Linked DNA regions of Oryzias latipes. The protein of the gene in region 1 interacts with the protein of each later gene in a pairwise test. Links are inferred from orthologs where the notes say so. Each region holds a gene or a part of one and is shown on either strand. Other genes may lie near its edges.

The links. The genes of interacting proteins can lie anywhere in the genome.
Region 2: the proteins of bag4 (region 1) and unkl interact in binary tests that used the Homo sapiens proteins (3 or more experiments, as listed by UniProt). The link is inferred for Oryzias latipes from reciprocal best matches to the Homo sapiens genes BAG4 and UNKL.

Annotation. Positions count from the first base shown.
Region 1 is NC_019867.2:18,631,604-18,639,768, reverse strand, and holds bag4 (BAG family molecular chaperone regulator 4), read left to right. Parts: upstream 1-3,242; 5' UTR 3,243-3,414; coding exon 3,415-3,504; intron 3,505-4,042; coding exon 4,043-4,162; intron 4,163-4,362; coding exon 4,363-4,578; intron 4,579-5,074; coding exon 5,075-5,344; intron 5,345-5,436; coding exon 5,437-5,898; 3' UTR 5,899-6,558; downstream 6,559-8,165. Other genes in the region: U6 snRNA-associated Sm-like protein LSm1, read right to left, coding at 1,084-1,254, 2,224-2,339, 2,470-2,538, 2,649-2,694. UniProt on the Homo sapiens protein: Inhibits the chaperone activity of HSP70/HSC70 by promoting substrate release. Prevents constitutive TNFRSF1A signaling. Negative regulator of PRKN translocation to damaged mitochondria.
Region 2 is NC_019866.2:8,065,520-8,072,995, reverse strand, and holds part of unkl (putative E3 ubiquitin-protein ligase UNKL), read right to left. Parts: coding exon 7,341-7,476; intron 5,804-7,340; coding exon 5,627-5,803; intron 5,221-5,626; coding exon 5,087-5,220; intron 4,968-5,086; coding exon 4,832-4,967; intron 4,761-4,831; coding exon 4,643-4,760; intron 4,492-4,642; coding exon 4,407-4,491; intron 4,275-4,406; coding exon 4,108-4,274; intron 3,754-4,107; coding exon 3,565-3,753; intron 3,233-3,564; coding exon 3,182-3,232; intron 3,093-3,181; coding exon 2,915-3,092; intron 2,828-2,914; coding exon 2,738-2,827; intron 2,662-2,737; coding exon 2,428-2,661; intron 2,269-2,427; coding exon 2,081-2,268; intron 1,999-2,080; coding exon 1,741-1,998; intron 1,596-1,740; coding exon of another isoform or gene 1,559-1,595; coding exon 1,403-1,558; 3' UTR 1-1,402. UniProt on the Homo sapiens protein: May participate in a protein complex showing an E3 ligase activity regulated by RAC1. Ubiquitination is directed towards itself and possibly other substrates, such as SMARCD2/BAF60b. Intrinsic E3 ligase activity has not been proven.

The DNA.
Region 1 (8,165 bases):
ATGGATGGTGAGTTTTCTATTTAACAAATTGAAGGATTTTTAAGTTCACCTTATGGTTCTAATAAATATGGCAAGGGTCACTTAGCTCTAATTTTTTTTTGTTGATTTGATTTACAAATGTTGGCTGTTATGCACCTCAAATGCTAAAATATCTATTTTTAATCACTGCTGACATTACACTTCTACATTTGCTGGATTGAGAGGATCCCATGTGAAACAGGACACTTATTGAGAGGAAGTCACATGAACCTCCATCAAAAGTTTAAACTACCGGTATTTTAAAAAAAAAGCTATTTTCTCTTTATATTTTTTTATTTATGCCAAATAACAGTTCATCTATATTTATCATATTAGTATCCAAGACAAATTAGTCTTAAAAAAATAAAAAAATAAAGACTTTGACTCCTACTGGGGCGTGGTCATTGAGACATCAACCCAAATGGCTCTTTATGTGCTGAAGGTTGCAGAACCCTGCTATAGGTTAAGAAAAAAATAAATAAAAAAAAATAAAAAAGTATACGGGGTACATATAAAGATGACTGTAAAACGCATAGCTTCTCTTACACGTCACTTTATTCTAGCAGCTAATGAGGGAAATTGATCAGTATCTGAAAGATCATCCCTATAACAGAATTAACGTTTTGATTAGCCAATAGGAAGCCAGTCAAGTCACCAATAAATACTTAAATGACTAAACGCACCGCTTTCTGTGTACTTGCAGATTAAACCTTCAAAGACAAAAGATTTTTCAAGCAGGCTTTAGTAAGTGAAACTCAATTGTTTTAATGGAGAACAGGAGTGTTAGTCACTAGCAGACCCACCATCTCCAAATAAAAAGTTCACGTCATTATGATGATTGATGACAAAGTGCTGCTGTAAAAAGGCCGTCAAGTTGTAACCATTTGCTTAAACAGTTCTTACATCCCCATACAATTTAAATGAAACTATTAAGAAAAGAAAAAAAAGCAAAACAAAACAATGCAGTATTGTGCCTTACATGATTCTAGCCACAAAACAAAAGACACCCTTCAGTTAAACATAAAATCCATTTGTCTTATACAAACTAAAAGGCTTGTAAAGGGTTCAATACTCGTCCAAATTATCAGCTTTGGGTATGGAAAGGCCTCTGTCCTTCAGAGCTTGCATTTTGACTTTCTCCGTTTCCTGTTTGGCCTGCTGCTGCAACCGCTGCTCCTCCAGGATCTCCTCAATTGAAACCTGCTGCAAGACTGTGTCGCAGGGCTTATCCAAATCCTGCACAGGACACAGGAGAGTGAGGTCAAATCTTATGATCCGAAAATGTCATCAAGTTCTTTTAGGCTCTGTGCATCATTCCATGACACTAACAAAAGTTGCTAGTACTCAATGCTATGGCCTGCTCATAGTTTTGCCCAAAAAGATGCTTAAACTCCGTGGTTCAAGGACCCACGAAAAACTTGTGTGACACAAGTTCGAATGGTAAGCCACAAGCTCCCTGCACCACTCTATTCTGATGCATCCATTGTAGACAAAACGATGCATGTGCCTCTTTGTTTCCCTCATCGGAGCTGAGATCTGGCTCCAAACTATGGCTGGATAGCTCTAATATTGTTGCCGTATTCATTTCTACCACCATCATGTTAGGTTGGGGTTGTGAGGTAAACTAGCAGCAATCCTGCAATCATTTGTGTAATCATTGGTAATCTAAATTATAATTAAGAAAAAAAAAAGTAAGAAGAAGTATGCATTGTATTTATATGGAAAGAGCAAAGATTGACAATCCTCACCACTTTTCCCACCCGCTTTTCTTTTATATCATATTGAAAACCAGGAGAGAAAAATAAAAAATCTGGCTAGACCAAACAGCAAATTTGAAAAAGTTGTAAAATTAAGCCTTTTTTGTTTTTGCTAAGTAACCTTAACATGGAGGTACCTTTACAGTCAATGTGTGCGCAATTTCCTTTTTAAGCAAGTATTCATTTAGGCAGCAACTTTTCAAAAAAAAAAGTTTATAACTGTAGTAACTATATAAAGTAACAATTTACTTGCATATAAATTTAACTTGATCTTTAAATAAGAGTCACATCATTTTCTGCAGTGCGAGACCTGGATGCTTGACCACATTCAGAGTTTGATGTTTGGTGCTGTACGGAGCATCTGAGAACAAGTTCACGTAAATAAAACTTGATCCAGAAATTACATTCAAGTTTAGAACAAACTAAAAAATTGCTCTAAAACACTTACTATTTCCCCAAGCAGGACTACATTTTCTCCCCTGACGATGAAGATACCTCTGGGAATATCTCCAAATTTCTTTCCCACGTGGATACGCTCCACCGTCTGATGAAAGACTAAATTGGCTGTGGAACAAAAAAAAAAAAAAAAGAAAGAAACAAACAAATTTAGGACTATTGAAACACCGCGTAATCATATAAAAATAAAAAAATAAACCCGCATGGAAGAGTTTAGAAGATTCTCATTTTTTATTACCAAACTGATCGATGCTTCTCAGGTAACCGATTAGTGTTCTGCCATCTCGCAGCAGGACCAAGTGCTTTTCTGCGAAATTAAAAACATTTAAAAAAAATCTGCGTCCACACGGCACACGCTAATACATTGTGTCGTTTGTTTATGATTAAAAAAAGCAATTTCTATAAGGCCCAACTTACTGTCAATATCGTCAATGAGACTGGCCGTCCCTGGTACGTAATTCATGTTTAGTTGCAGTTTTCACGCGTTTAGTTGATTTCTGAACCATCAAGCCATGAATGTTTTTACCCGTTTCTATTTGACGGTGCACAGGAAGTGCTTTTATACACTTCCTGTAAACATTTAACCCCTTCCGCACCGTAATTGCGCATAGCTCGAATTTTCTAAAAATAACTGTGTAAAAATGATTTAAACAAAAGTATCATACATTTTATGATACAAAAAGAATTTTCTATAAAACATGTTTGGATTAAATGTCCCCATTTGATGATGGATGGTAACCCTTCCAACGCATGTGCCACATCAAAGATCGTAAATGAAAATTTTGAAAAGTTGCGTCACATGTTTAAAAAATACAACTGCTACAGGAGTAATTCAATAGTTGGTCTTAGCAGTAAAATATATTGAAAATAAATATCTTTAATTAAAAATATTCTAATTGTGTTCCCCGTTTCTGCGTTTTGCAATTGTAAGGTTTCATCCAGCAATTTCGATCAGAAAGTTTTAGAGAGTGACTCCTCTTTACTTGTAATGGTTCTACTCGACTTAAAGACGCAGTACCATGTCTCCAGAGTTCCGCGTCATTTATTCATTTCTTGGTTGCAATCAGGCGATCCTGACTTCTGCGGGGAAGCTGCTGCTTTGATCAGCTGTCAGATTTCTAGCGGAACCGTAAACTAGTGATAGTCTTGCTTATTTTGGAAGATGGCAAAATACGTGTAACTGATGCAGAAACCCCAAATGCAGCCAAACGGGAAAACTGGCTGGCCCTCTACTAACTCGGGAAATAGTCACGGAAGCTGCAGTAACACTATGGTAAGCGAGCAGATTAATTAAAAAAAACTTTACTGGGGGGAGGGGGTGACAGATCATATTGTGCTTTAAAGAAACAAAGATTAATTTAAAATCTCCCAACAATAAAATCCGTTTGTTCGTTCGTGCAGAAGTTCTTCGCAATGTTCATCATGCTAGCTTCATAGCTAATATAGCTAGCGGGCATTATGTAATAGTTACTGCTAGCTTATTAGTTAAGTCCTTGTTTTTAAATTACATTGACTCGAAAATATCGATTTAACACAACACTTCTGCACGTTAGGAGATCGTAGCGATCATATAGAGTTTCATGAGTTAATCATTGGTTTAGCTCAAATTATTTCATTCATTTAAACACAAGTTAACATCCATTTATTTAGTTTTCTAGAAAGACACGAGTATATGTTTATCAATGCGTTTATCATTTAAGTTTCTCAGCATCAAGTTCTCCATATCTCTATTTGAGATTTAGGATAGCTACACAAAATGGGTTGGATCACATAAAGTGAGTCGCTGTCTCGTGTCAACTTGCCTTTTACAGGATGCTCCTCAGTATCCAAGTTACCCTCCACAATACTGGTATCCGCAGTCCCACTCCACAGGGCCCTACGCAAATGCCTATCCTTCAGCGTCAGATCTGCATCCGCAGTACAATCCACAGGTACATCTCACTATACGAGCCATTCCTTTCCTTCAACATTTTAATATATTGCTCACTGTTTTGATTCTCATCAATTTCCTCATCTTTCTTTTGCACAAACACTCATAGTTGTGGTATCAAAAGTGCTGTTTTCACAGAGTGGTCAATTTCCTCTCAGGCTTGTCCCTGTTTTTCTTTTTTTACTTATTTTTTATTTTTAGGTAATGCCAGGAGGATATCCGAACGGCCATGGAGCGTACAACCATGCACAGAGTCCGTACCCGGCAAGTAGCTTCCACCCATCCAACCCCTTCTACTGTGCTGATCCAAGGAGAGCAAGTCCAAGTTCCTATCCGCACCAAGGCTGTCCGGCAGATCAAAGCAGCGAGCCGCCTCACGCTCAGCATCATCATTACACTGGTCCACACTGTCAAGGGGTGAGTTTATTTACGCATTAATGAGACACTCACATTACTTACAAAATACTTAAATAGAAGCAAAAGGTTCTTGGTTTAATATTTCAGTCTTTTTACTTATTATTATTTATATGAGTTTGCTAAAACAATCTTATGGAAGCTTGACGTATTTAAGGAATCAAACAAATCATTTTATGCATTTGACCAATCGGATGGACGCCTTCACATTGTTGACCAATCGGATGGTGCCCTTTTATGCTAGACGAGGGTTTACTTTAAAAAAAAAAATTTAAACCGTTGCAGTGAAATGGAAATGATGTTTTTGGTTGTTTTGGTGTGTTCACGTATCACCGCAAGTTATATCGTCATCGCAATATTGATCATCAATATCGCATATCACAAGTTTTCCTTATATCGAGCAGCCCAAATGTGTTTAGAAAGCACCAAAATGAGACATCCATTTCTTGTAATGTTACATTTTTGAGAATAAACATGTTTGTCTTGTTTGTGCTCTCAGGGTCCTGGATATCCTCCTGGATCATACCCACACTACAGTGAAGGTGGACATGCAATTCACTCGAATTCTCCTTACCCAACCGGCCAGGCTCTTCATCCTAATTCCCAGGCTGAAGCATGGGGACACCCCAGCCAGTATGCCCACTCACAGCAACAGTGGCAGGGAGGTCAGCAACCTCCCCAAAATCATTACGGGAATCCCGTCCGTCCACCTCATCCTCCAGCGTGGCCAGGAACCGGGACTGGTGCCCCACCACCCTATCAGCCCAAAGTAAGGCTCTGCAGCTGACGTGCATTGTGTAACAATTATTCAAGAGTCCGTAAGGAGATAAAAGCAAATATGTCTATCTTGTGTTGTTTCAGGATCAGCATCACCAACGCCCTCTGCAGGTGGGGCCTAAACCCAGGCCAACACCACCCCCTAATGGAAAGCCTGCTGAAATAACTTCTCCTCCACAAATCTACAACAAAACAGGGAGAGGTGATACTAACACCTCACAGGCTGAGCCCCCCCCATCAGCCCCAACCCAAGCTCCTGCACCGCCCGCAGGTCAGACCAGACAGCTGCCCTTGAGTGATAATCCAGGCCTTGCCAAGGTTCAGCATGTGATGACCAGAGTTCAGCTACTTCAGGAAGATGTTGACGAGTTTGTAGGCAAAAAGACAGACAAGAGCTACCGCTGTCTTGAGGAACTTCTGACCAAAGAGCTGTTAGAGCTGGACTCCGTGGAGACTCAGGGACAGGACAATGTTCGACAAGCACGGAAAGAAGCCGTGCAGAGAATTCAGGCCATACTTGACCAACTAGAGAAGAAAGCCTTCTGAAGCGGGCTCAATTAACTTGCTTGTGGACCACCAAGTTTTCTTATGTTCTCTAAGATCTTCCTTGACAAAAGTCCTGCTCTGCAGAACTATAACAATGTTCTTTTTTCTACCTTAAAAACATTATATGAAGAAATTACAGACCGAAGGAAGAGTTAGATGAAATTTGAAGGGAACTTAAAATCAGACCTACACATGAATGCCATGTCTTTTGTTTTCAAATCTACTCCTAATACAGATAAGATTACGGTCAAAGTTCTGCTTTGTCTCCATTTATTTGTTTTCACACTTTCGCATAGAAAAAGATGAAATCATTGTTAAATTCATTTAGATGGCCTCACTTGTTTGTTTGTTTTTTCAGGTTAAAAAATTGAAAAAGTTTATTTTTTAAAATCTCAGCAGCATTTCATATTTCTGGTTTAGCAAAGTCTGTTTTTCCATGTTGGTCTAGTTAAAGAAAGTGCCATCTTTCAGAAAATAGTTTTTTAAGTCTTGGAAGAACAACAACAAAAAATGTCTAAAAAATACAACAAGTTTTGCATGGAAATGTCTCTGTTATGTGTTAATCTGTCAGCTATGATGATGGAATTCTGACAAAACAATTGCTATAATTATTAAAAAAGAAAATAGTAAAATGATTAAAATATTTTTATGAGTTTGTAATCCAATTGATTTTATTTTGCTGCAACTATGTAATTGCCTCAGAACTGGCAGAAGGCTGCCTCCAAGTGCAGCAGGGTTATTGGCTCATCTGTGCACACACAGGTAGCAATACACAACCTTAGGCTACGAGTCACAGACACTGCTTCCAATCTGGAGTCATCAAGTGTAATAACCCTATCAAGACTTCTAGACCCCAGATGTAAAATACTTGGATTTTTGAGTTCCTTAAGGTGTGGTGAAGCAGTGAACAATTTGAAAATGGAACGTCCTGCTGTGATTGGGCGCACATCTACTGAGTCACAGCCTGGACCCTCTTCACAACAGTTATCGGTATCCACTTCAGGCATGTTGTGTTCAAGTATATCCGTTTATTTTTGCACGTATTTCTTTGAAAGTTACGTACTGATTTGTACTTGACTACTCAAATCAAATCTGTTGGTTCTTTGATAACATGTGGCAGCAGCTGGACAAGGATGTTGGCAAGAAGACGAACAACGCCACAGCAGATTCTATTATTGAAGTCCAGAGATCCCTTGCTGAGAGCAACTTGCCAAGGACCCAGGATCCCTTGCAGTATTGAACCCATCATAAAACCAATTTCCCAAACCTCTTCAGGCTGTCCCTACAGTTTTTATGCACTCCCACATCATCAGTGCCATGTGAACGAGTGTTCTCAAAGCTCGAGAACTTGCCTCCAAAAAAATGTAATAGGCTGAATGCCAAAACACTTGAAAAACTTTTTTTTTTATAAAAATTCTGTGGAAAGAAATACCCCCCCACTCAGAGAATATGTAACTGAGCAACATTACATCCACACTGTGGCTTTGTCACATTATAACACACATTCACATTATTTGACATTTTATATGTTACATATTTTTCACTAAGATTTATTTAATCAGGATGTGGGTGAACAATTGTTTTCAGTCCAGCAGGAGTCAGTATTGAGTGACACAGGAACAATACTGTTTGTGTAACGTGCCAAAACGCTCACGAGGTTTCATCTATTCATCACTAGCAATAATTCTTGGTAATGAAGGCAGTGAGGCACAAACAATACTTCACGCTGAGTGAGGCTCAATGCAGTGTTTAAGTATGCAGTGGTTGATTGAGTGAATGAGAGCCAGGTGTGCAGCATCCAGGAAGTGTGCGCAGGGGTTGCTGGGAGGTGAAGTGCATTCAGTTCTCTGGAGACTGCGGGGAGACAGAGCTCTAATATGGTGTCCGACTTCTGACAGTAACAATCCATTTGAAAGTGGGTTTTCCCATGGATTTTCTCTTGTTCCTAATAGGTACATGTTGAAGCACTAGCCTGCCATACAGAGCTCTTATTCTATCTTTTCATCTAGAGGAATGCTATTTGGACCCAAAAGCGCAACATGCTGAAGGCTTCGGTTTCTCATGCTGGAGTAAAATAGGTTTTTGCTATAGTTTAAGAATGTCACAGATTTTTTTGGGGGTAAAAAAATCTGTAAGAGTAAGAAAAATGGGGTTACAAGCAAACATCTAGAAACTCTTTTTACTTACAAATGCTAATGTGGAAACAAAAGGATTTTGCCTATTTAAATTGAATAAATTCTGGGGGAAAAACAACTATTTTCATTATG
Region 2 (7,476 bases), on another chromosome or scaffold:
AGTAGAAACTATCTGGATTTTTTATAGGAAATCTTCAATCATCATGCTGTGATTTTACAACAGGAAATATCCAAATTATAGTTCACAGTTCTTAGAAAAGCTCCAGGTGTTAGCTTATGTGGAAAAACAAAGGAAATCTAAAAATAAAAAAGCAAACCCATTAATAAAGTCCCATTTTAACAAAGTGCTTTAATACAAAAGAAAGTTTTAAGATTATAACAGAGAAATATCCTTAGAAACTTGGTCAATATGATTGTTTGGTTAATTGCTTTAAGGTTTTTTGCATGTTAGCATCATTTGTTGCTGCTTTTTTTTTTTTTGAGGATAATACTATGTTTTTTTTTGGACGTGAAGTGTTTTTAAGTTTAGCAAAATACTTAAGCCAAATATTTGAAATAGCTTTAAAATAAGAGGTGCTAAGTCAAAATATGAAATTTTACTCAAACATATTTCATAAGATTTTTATGGTTTAGCTGCCAAATTAATTTTATTTGCATTTAATTTGTGTTCCTTTTTTGCTTACTGAAAAACATTCATTTTTGTAAAAAAAAAAAAAAAAAAAAAAAAAAAAAAAATTTACATAAAAAATAAGATGCAATATTTGTATTTTGATATAAACTTTGGTGGGATCCAGGAAAAGACGCTCAAATGCGTTTTGAGCTAAAGCTTAGCTTAGTGACTGATAGATATTATTGTATGAAAAACACTGCAGTTTTTTTATGAACTTAAAAAGAATCACTTCTACAGTTGACAAAAAAACCTTCTCAAAAGCTTAATACAGATTTCTAAAATGATATACATGTATTTATATACATATATATATATATTTATCTGTTCATTTCTGAAGTTGTTTTTGTATATTTTCTTTTTTGAAAAGCTGGTGCTGAATGCCTTCAATCATTCTCCGGAAAGTTCATTTTGATGCTACCTCACTCCTCAGGGGGTTTCAATCTTTCATTCTCCTGACGTTTATCACCGCTGTCCATTTTAAAAGATGTCATTTTGCTCAACTTGTCTCACTGTTTAGTTCTTTTTCTGTTTATTTGGAAAAATCTATAGCTGTGTTTTGCTTTCAGATTAAATATGAAAATGTTGATCTGTAACTGGACCAAAGCCCAGCGCCTTTTACTGTGCCTAAAGCTGGAATAATACGGTTATTTATAATCTAATCAGAGAATATGCAGTATAAAATGTTATGTCCAACAGAACAGAAAATAAAAAGAGCTACCTTAGAAATGAATGTCTACTGGGAACACCTGATTTATAATACTGATTTCTAATATTGTGTAATTCAGATTATAGTCAGACGTCAGAAAAAAACAGACATCACTGCTTAGAAAAGGTGTGATTAGTAGTTCTTAACAGGATTAAGTTTCTAAATAGTAGCTCGAGTTTCTGTACATCACCACTTGACTATTTTTGTTTTACAATAAGGACATTCTGCTTTACTAGGTGCACAGTTCTCACAAAGTACATAATGTTGGCAAGGTTGCAGAACAACGCAACGATCATGGTTTTGGCAAACTATACATTTCTTTGACTGAAGCTGATAAATTACCTGTTGGGGGAAGAAAAGAGTCGATATGAGCTGCAAACTACAAGAAAAAAAGAAAACCTGTTCATGCAAATTGTTGAAATAAGCATGCTTCATGACAGAACGGGTGCTTTGTAACAACCTAACAAACGGTCTTACTCAGACGCTACAAAATGAAATGCTGTTTGAGATCTAGACTTTCTTACCCCGTCTATAAGGTCTAGGTCATTACGTAGCTGACTCTGGATAGAGTGGAGTTTGGACAGGGAGAGCTGGTCCAGCTCTCCGTAGCTACGGAGGAGAGGAGTTCCAGGGGTGCGACAAAACACGTCAAAGTCTCCCTGGAGTTCTTTCAGCTTGCGCTCTGCGTCTTCCCATTTCTGCTCTGCCAGCTGCCGCTCGGCCTCAGCCGTCTTTGCTTGCTCCTTCGCTTCGTGCGCGTCTTTCTGACAAGCTTCAAACGCCTGGAACGAAAGCCAAACTTGGCTTTTAACAACATCAACTTGAAGCTTTGTGCTGCGGCAGAAGTGGGGTTAGACGGCTGACCTGCTTGACTTGATGCCAGGCCTCCTCCCATTGTTTGATCTTCCTTTTAGCTTCATCCAGCTCTCGAAAAAGGCGGGCCAGATCAGTGCTGCTGGATGTGGAGGTCAGGCTGCTGAAAACTGGGGATGGACTTGGAGAAAAGCTGCCACTTACAAAGTCCCAGATGTTGCTTGCTCCTCCATTCAAACCTAGATGTGAAATAGTTTTACAATAGTTAGAAAAAGGATTTTTTTAATGAAGAAAATCCTTTTACAATCTAAGTTGCATCTTACTTTGAATCTAAAGAATGTGGTTGATTATACTGCATTTACTTTTGTAAAACACTTTTAATGTCTGCTGCCGCTTACCCAGGGAATTCTGGGAAGAGGAGGTGGGTGTTCCCAGGAGGCCATGTTCCTGCTTGGTTAACATGGCGGCATGGTTTTGCTGAGACACTGCTCCAGACAGCAGCGACTGTGACAGCGACTGGGAGAGGGAGCTCAGCGGAGAGGTGGAAAGCGATGACGAGGAATTAAAAGAGGAGGACCTCGCCAGGGAGCCGGGAATGTTGACGGGAGCCGACCCACCCAGCACCCTTTGACCTACGAAGCAACGTCAAAGCGGCTGTCACCCGAGAGAAACTAAAAACATTTACCGGCACAATTTGGAATCTCTTACTTGAAAGTCCTAAACTGTTATCTTGCTCCTCTAACTCCTTATCAAGAGATGCAACGTTGATGTCGCTGAAATTGAGGTCTAAAGCAGAACCTGATGAGGAGACAAAAGAATCTTGACTTACACCTGAAAGCAGAACCTTTCTAAGCCTGTTAACCCTCGGGGTTAGCGTGCAGTTACCGATGACGGACTCCACCGTGTTGCTCCCTGGATAGAAAGGAGTGGCCTTTGCATTCATGGTGGATAAGGTGGTGGGTGAAGAACTATCGGATCCAATACTGGAGGCCAAACTTGATGTGATGCTGGACGTGAAGCTTGATGCCAACGGGTTCACAGCAGAAAATACAGTATTTTGCATCTAAAGAAAAAAGAAAATATATATATATGTAACTATTAAAGAACGTTTGACAAATACTGGGTTTACATTTTACAGATTTATGTACAAACCTGCTTATCTTGGTCCATTAATTTTTGCTCCGTCTGTCCCTTACACTTTATCTATAAACAACATTGGAAACGTCAGTAACTTTCTCCTTATATCCAGTCTATATGAAATAAAATACTATTTCTGGGTTCTTTTGTTGCCGTTCTGACATCTTTGCTCAGAAACTAGTTCAGGATTGAGCCGTTTTAGAAATTAAATCGAAAAATTAAAAAGTTAAATAACTGCACAGATCAGGGCAAATACAATGAATCACACAAAATGATCTAAAATCGAAAATATGTGATAGCATGAACTGATGACGGAAGAAAACAACATCAAATAAAATCAAATAAACTTTAAATAATGAATGGCAGTTGATCATCCTAATATTTGTGCGTCTGTATACCTGATCCTCACGTTCAAAGCCCGGAGCTTTGGGATAGTTAGACATCAGAGATGGAACACTGGATGAACTGGACTCTGAACATAAACTACTACTAGTTAGGGACACGGGCCTGCTGATGGATCCCACTGGGGAGAGCAAGCTTTCGCTTCCTGAGGATGTTGTTACTGTTGTATTATTTGAACATGAAACCTGAGAAAGACAAGTGCACACGATCCCATAAAAATGACGATCGGAACATTACAAGCTACATGTAGCCATCATTTAGGAATAGAAGCAACAATTGCGATACTATTGGTTTCAATGAGAGTCTGTGTGTTGTCTGTTTTGTGACAAAATGTGAAAAAAAACAACAACTAATAAATGGATAAGAAATGTAAGACAAACTGAAAGATGGTAACACAATGACAACAAATGAACCGAATCTCTGACTAAATTCTGGCTCAAACAGCTTCAAAAAACGGGCTCCCTCTTAGCTTTAACACCCACTTTGGTCAAAGAATTTTCATAATAAAAGCACTGATAGAGAAAGAGAAAAGAACCTACACTTCCTAGTTGTCCGTTGCTACTGCTTGTGTTGGTGGTGGAGTTTCCCCCACTGTTCCACTCACCAACTGGACCCTCTAAATACTGCTGAGAGCCCAGCTGGGCCTGTGAACCCGACTGTATGGCTGACAGCAATGAGTTCATTGTCTCCTCTGTGGAGGGAATTCCTGAAAACAGTCAAAATACAGACTACTAAGTGACTTGTATCTAAGTAAAAGACATTTTTAAACTAGTAAAATGTAAAAATGAAAATATCAAAGCAGAATTTTCGACACTTGCAACTAAAAGGATCGACTTACTTTCTACATGTGCAAATGCACAAAACGGCCCTCTGGGGCAGTATCCTGTTTGACGCATATCATTGCATTTGGTAGATTTGTAGATCTGCATGCAAAAACAAACCGATTATTTTTGAAGCATCCACTGGAAGGTTTTCAGCAACCGGGCGTCCCAAATTCCACAAGTTAAGTTCATTATTTCCTTCAGAAACGCACACAGCAAAGAGGTTGAGGAACCTTCAGAAAGTGTCTCTCACCTCTGGGTGAAACTGCTGTTCAGTGCGAGAGTGACAATACTGGCAACTGTCCCCACTGTCACACTTTGAGGGTTCACCCCATTCATCCCCGTGTTTCACGTTGGGACAAGGAGTTGACCTGCAGGTCAAAGGCTTTATTATGACCATAATGTTGACATTAACGTGTTCATTCTAAATGACAAAACTCACCTGTACTTGAACTTTCGTGGATTTCGCCTTCGATCCCTACTGTTGTGGTAGTGAGGACATGCATAGCCCTGTCTGCATAGTCTGGGGGGTTTGGTACACTGATCTGTCTTATAATTGGCTAAAACAAAGTTGGTATCTGCAAAAACAAGTCTTCATGTTAAATTCTTGTGACTTTTAGCATTGCTGCATATTTCATTGTTTTCTTATATAAGCTGAGCTTATTTTAGAAAAAATATTTATTCGGGGGTTGCCCACCTTGCCACCTGGGATCTTCAGTTAAAGTTTTCTCAATCATAGCTTGACTAGCGAGCACACCAGGTTGTAAATCAGGAATACCATCCCCAGATCCCAACTGACCATTCTGGAGGGCCTCTTGTGCTTGGATCTCTCTGTGAATACACACAAAAAGATAAGGAGATATTAGAAATAATAATAATAATAATAATAATGAGATTAATGTGTAAATCCAACCTTCATTAAAACACTTTAAACACTTTGAAAATATATTTTCTTTGTTTTATTAAAACAATTTCAATTATAATGTGCAAAATGTTAGAAAACCCAATCAAGATATCTCATCATAAAACATATGTTACATTATTATGTTGATACTTATTGGTGCAGAAAGACAAATCGGAAATTACAAATAGTAAAAGTCATGCTGGTGCAAAACTAATCCTGCACTGAAGATGATCTAAGGCTAAACTAGTTGCTGCAAATGCTGCATTGTGAGGTTTATGGGAGGAGAAGCTCAAAAATATAAAAGCAAAGGACAACAGCTGCTCCGCAGGTCACCTGATATCATAGACTGGAGGCCGGAGATCGTGTGGGCCGTGAGCAAAAGCACAGTGAAGGCCGTTCTTCACACAATGCCCTCGAGCATCTGTCTCGTGGATACAAGTCCCAGTCTTGTAATATCGTAGATGGTACTTGCGCTCGGTGTCGCCCGTGGTTCGGTGTAGATAAGGACAACTGCAGACACAAAAACTCAATTTTAGAAGATCTAAATAAAACAAAAAAAAAACTTATTCTGAAAATAAAATATTGCAGAAGTATAAGCTTCAAAAACATTTTAGACTGAAACTTCAGGAACAAACATTTAATTTAAATGCTTAATGATGAAATAATCAAAACCTTTAGCATATTTAATGAATAAAAGAAATTAAAATAAATTAGCTGAAATTTTAGGGAATTTAAAAAAAAAAATAAACCTAAAAAAAAAGAGCAAAAACTATTATATTGATCCATATTTTCAGGGCTCCTAACACCTCTTTTACACAAATAGGCCAGTAAGCTTCTTGAATAAAATCTGCCTTCCTTGAGCAGCAACAGTTGCTATGACAACGCATAAGGTCATGCAAAAATAGCCTTGATCAGCAGAGGAGAACTTTCAACGACTACAATAGTCACAACCTATTATTATGATTTCTGTAATAAATAACTCTTCAAACATTTGAATCATAGTTAATTAAGCAGTTTACAGATTGTGTTATAGTGTGTGATCACATTTCCTCTGCCAGCTCTCCTCTGTTTAGTCCAACAGAGGCTGAACAAAAAACTGCTTTAAACATGCCAAAGACCTTTAGCAATAGGTTTTTTTTATATTACATTACAAAACTTAGTCTACGACAGAGTATAAGGACCAAAATAAAAGAAAAAAAGTACAAATAAATGAGAATGAAGTTGTGAAAAGTTACAATATTACAAGTACAAGATCCCAAACTTATGCTTCAAAAGTTGGAATTTTACATAAATATAATTTTTTTATGAAATGTTATATTTAGCTTTCCAAATGTTTAAACAAAGACAATCAAACATTATCTGTTTAGTATATGTTGCAAACAATTCAGAGGAACAGGATGAACATCACTGTTCAAGAATATCACTGAATCTGCCTAATTGGGGGGGATGTACAACTTTATTTTCATTAAAATAAAATTTTACTTCCAACAAAGTAGACTTTTTTCCTTTCAAAATTATGAATTTTATAAATTATAAAATGATGACCTTTCTTTAATAATGGAACAATGTTATTTTCATTATATTTGGACTTTTTTCCTCGTACGGTAATTTTATGACTGTCTTTCTAAGAATTGTACAATTTTTTCTCGTGTAAAGGAAACACAACACGGATCAGTTATCGGAGAAGTGAATAATGCTTAAAACTAGCATGTCTTTAATTATTTACTAGATAATATTTATTTAATTTCAGCTGATGACAGATCTGCATACAAAACTTAAAACCTTCATTTAAAAAAATAAACAACCACACGCTTTCTAGGTTTATATACCTTTAAAACCTAACCACTATAGTATACTTCCAAAAAACACTCAAAAGCATGAACTATTCAATCAACAGAATTAAAGTCAGAAACTCAGTAAAGTTAGTGCCCCCAAAAAATGTCTTTATTTTGGTATTTCTGGTTCACGAGAAAGAAATCCCTCTATGACGTATTGGACTCCAGTTATATAGCACAACATATAGCACCAAATTTTGACCGGAACTTACTCATCTCCATCTGGACAAATGCCTGTAGTCTCGTCGTATTTCGTGCAGTACACGTCCGGGCTGTAGTTAAAGGTTCCGTCTCTTCTTCGGATGGGTCGCCTGCGTCGCTGGTTAAGAAAATGCCAATGAAAGCAGG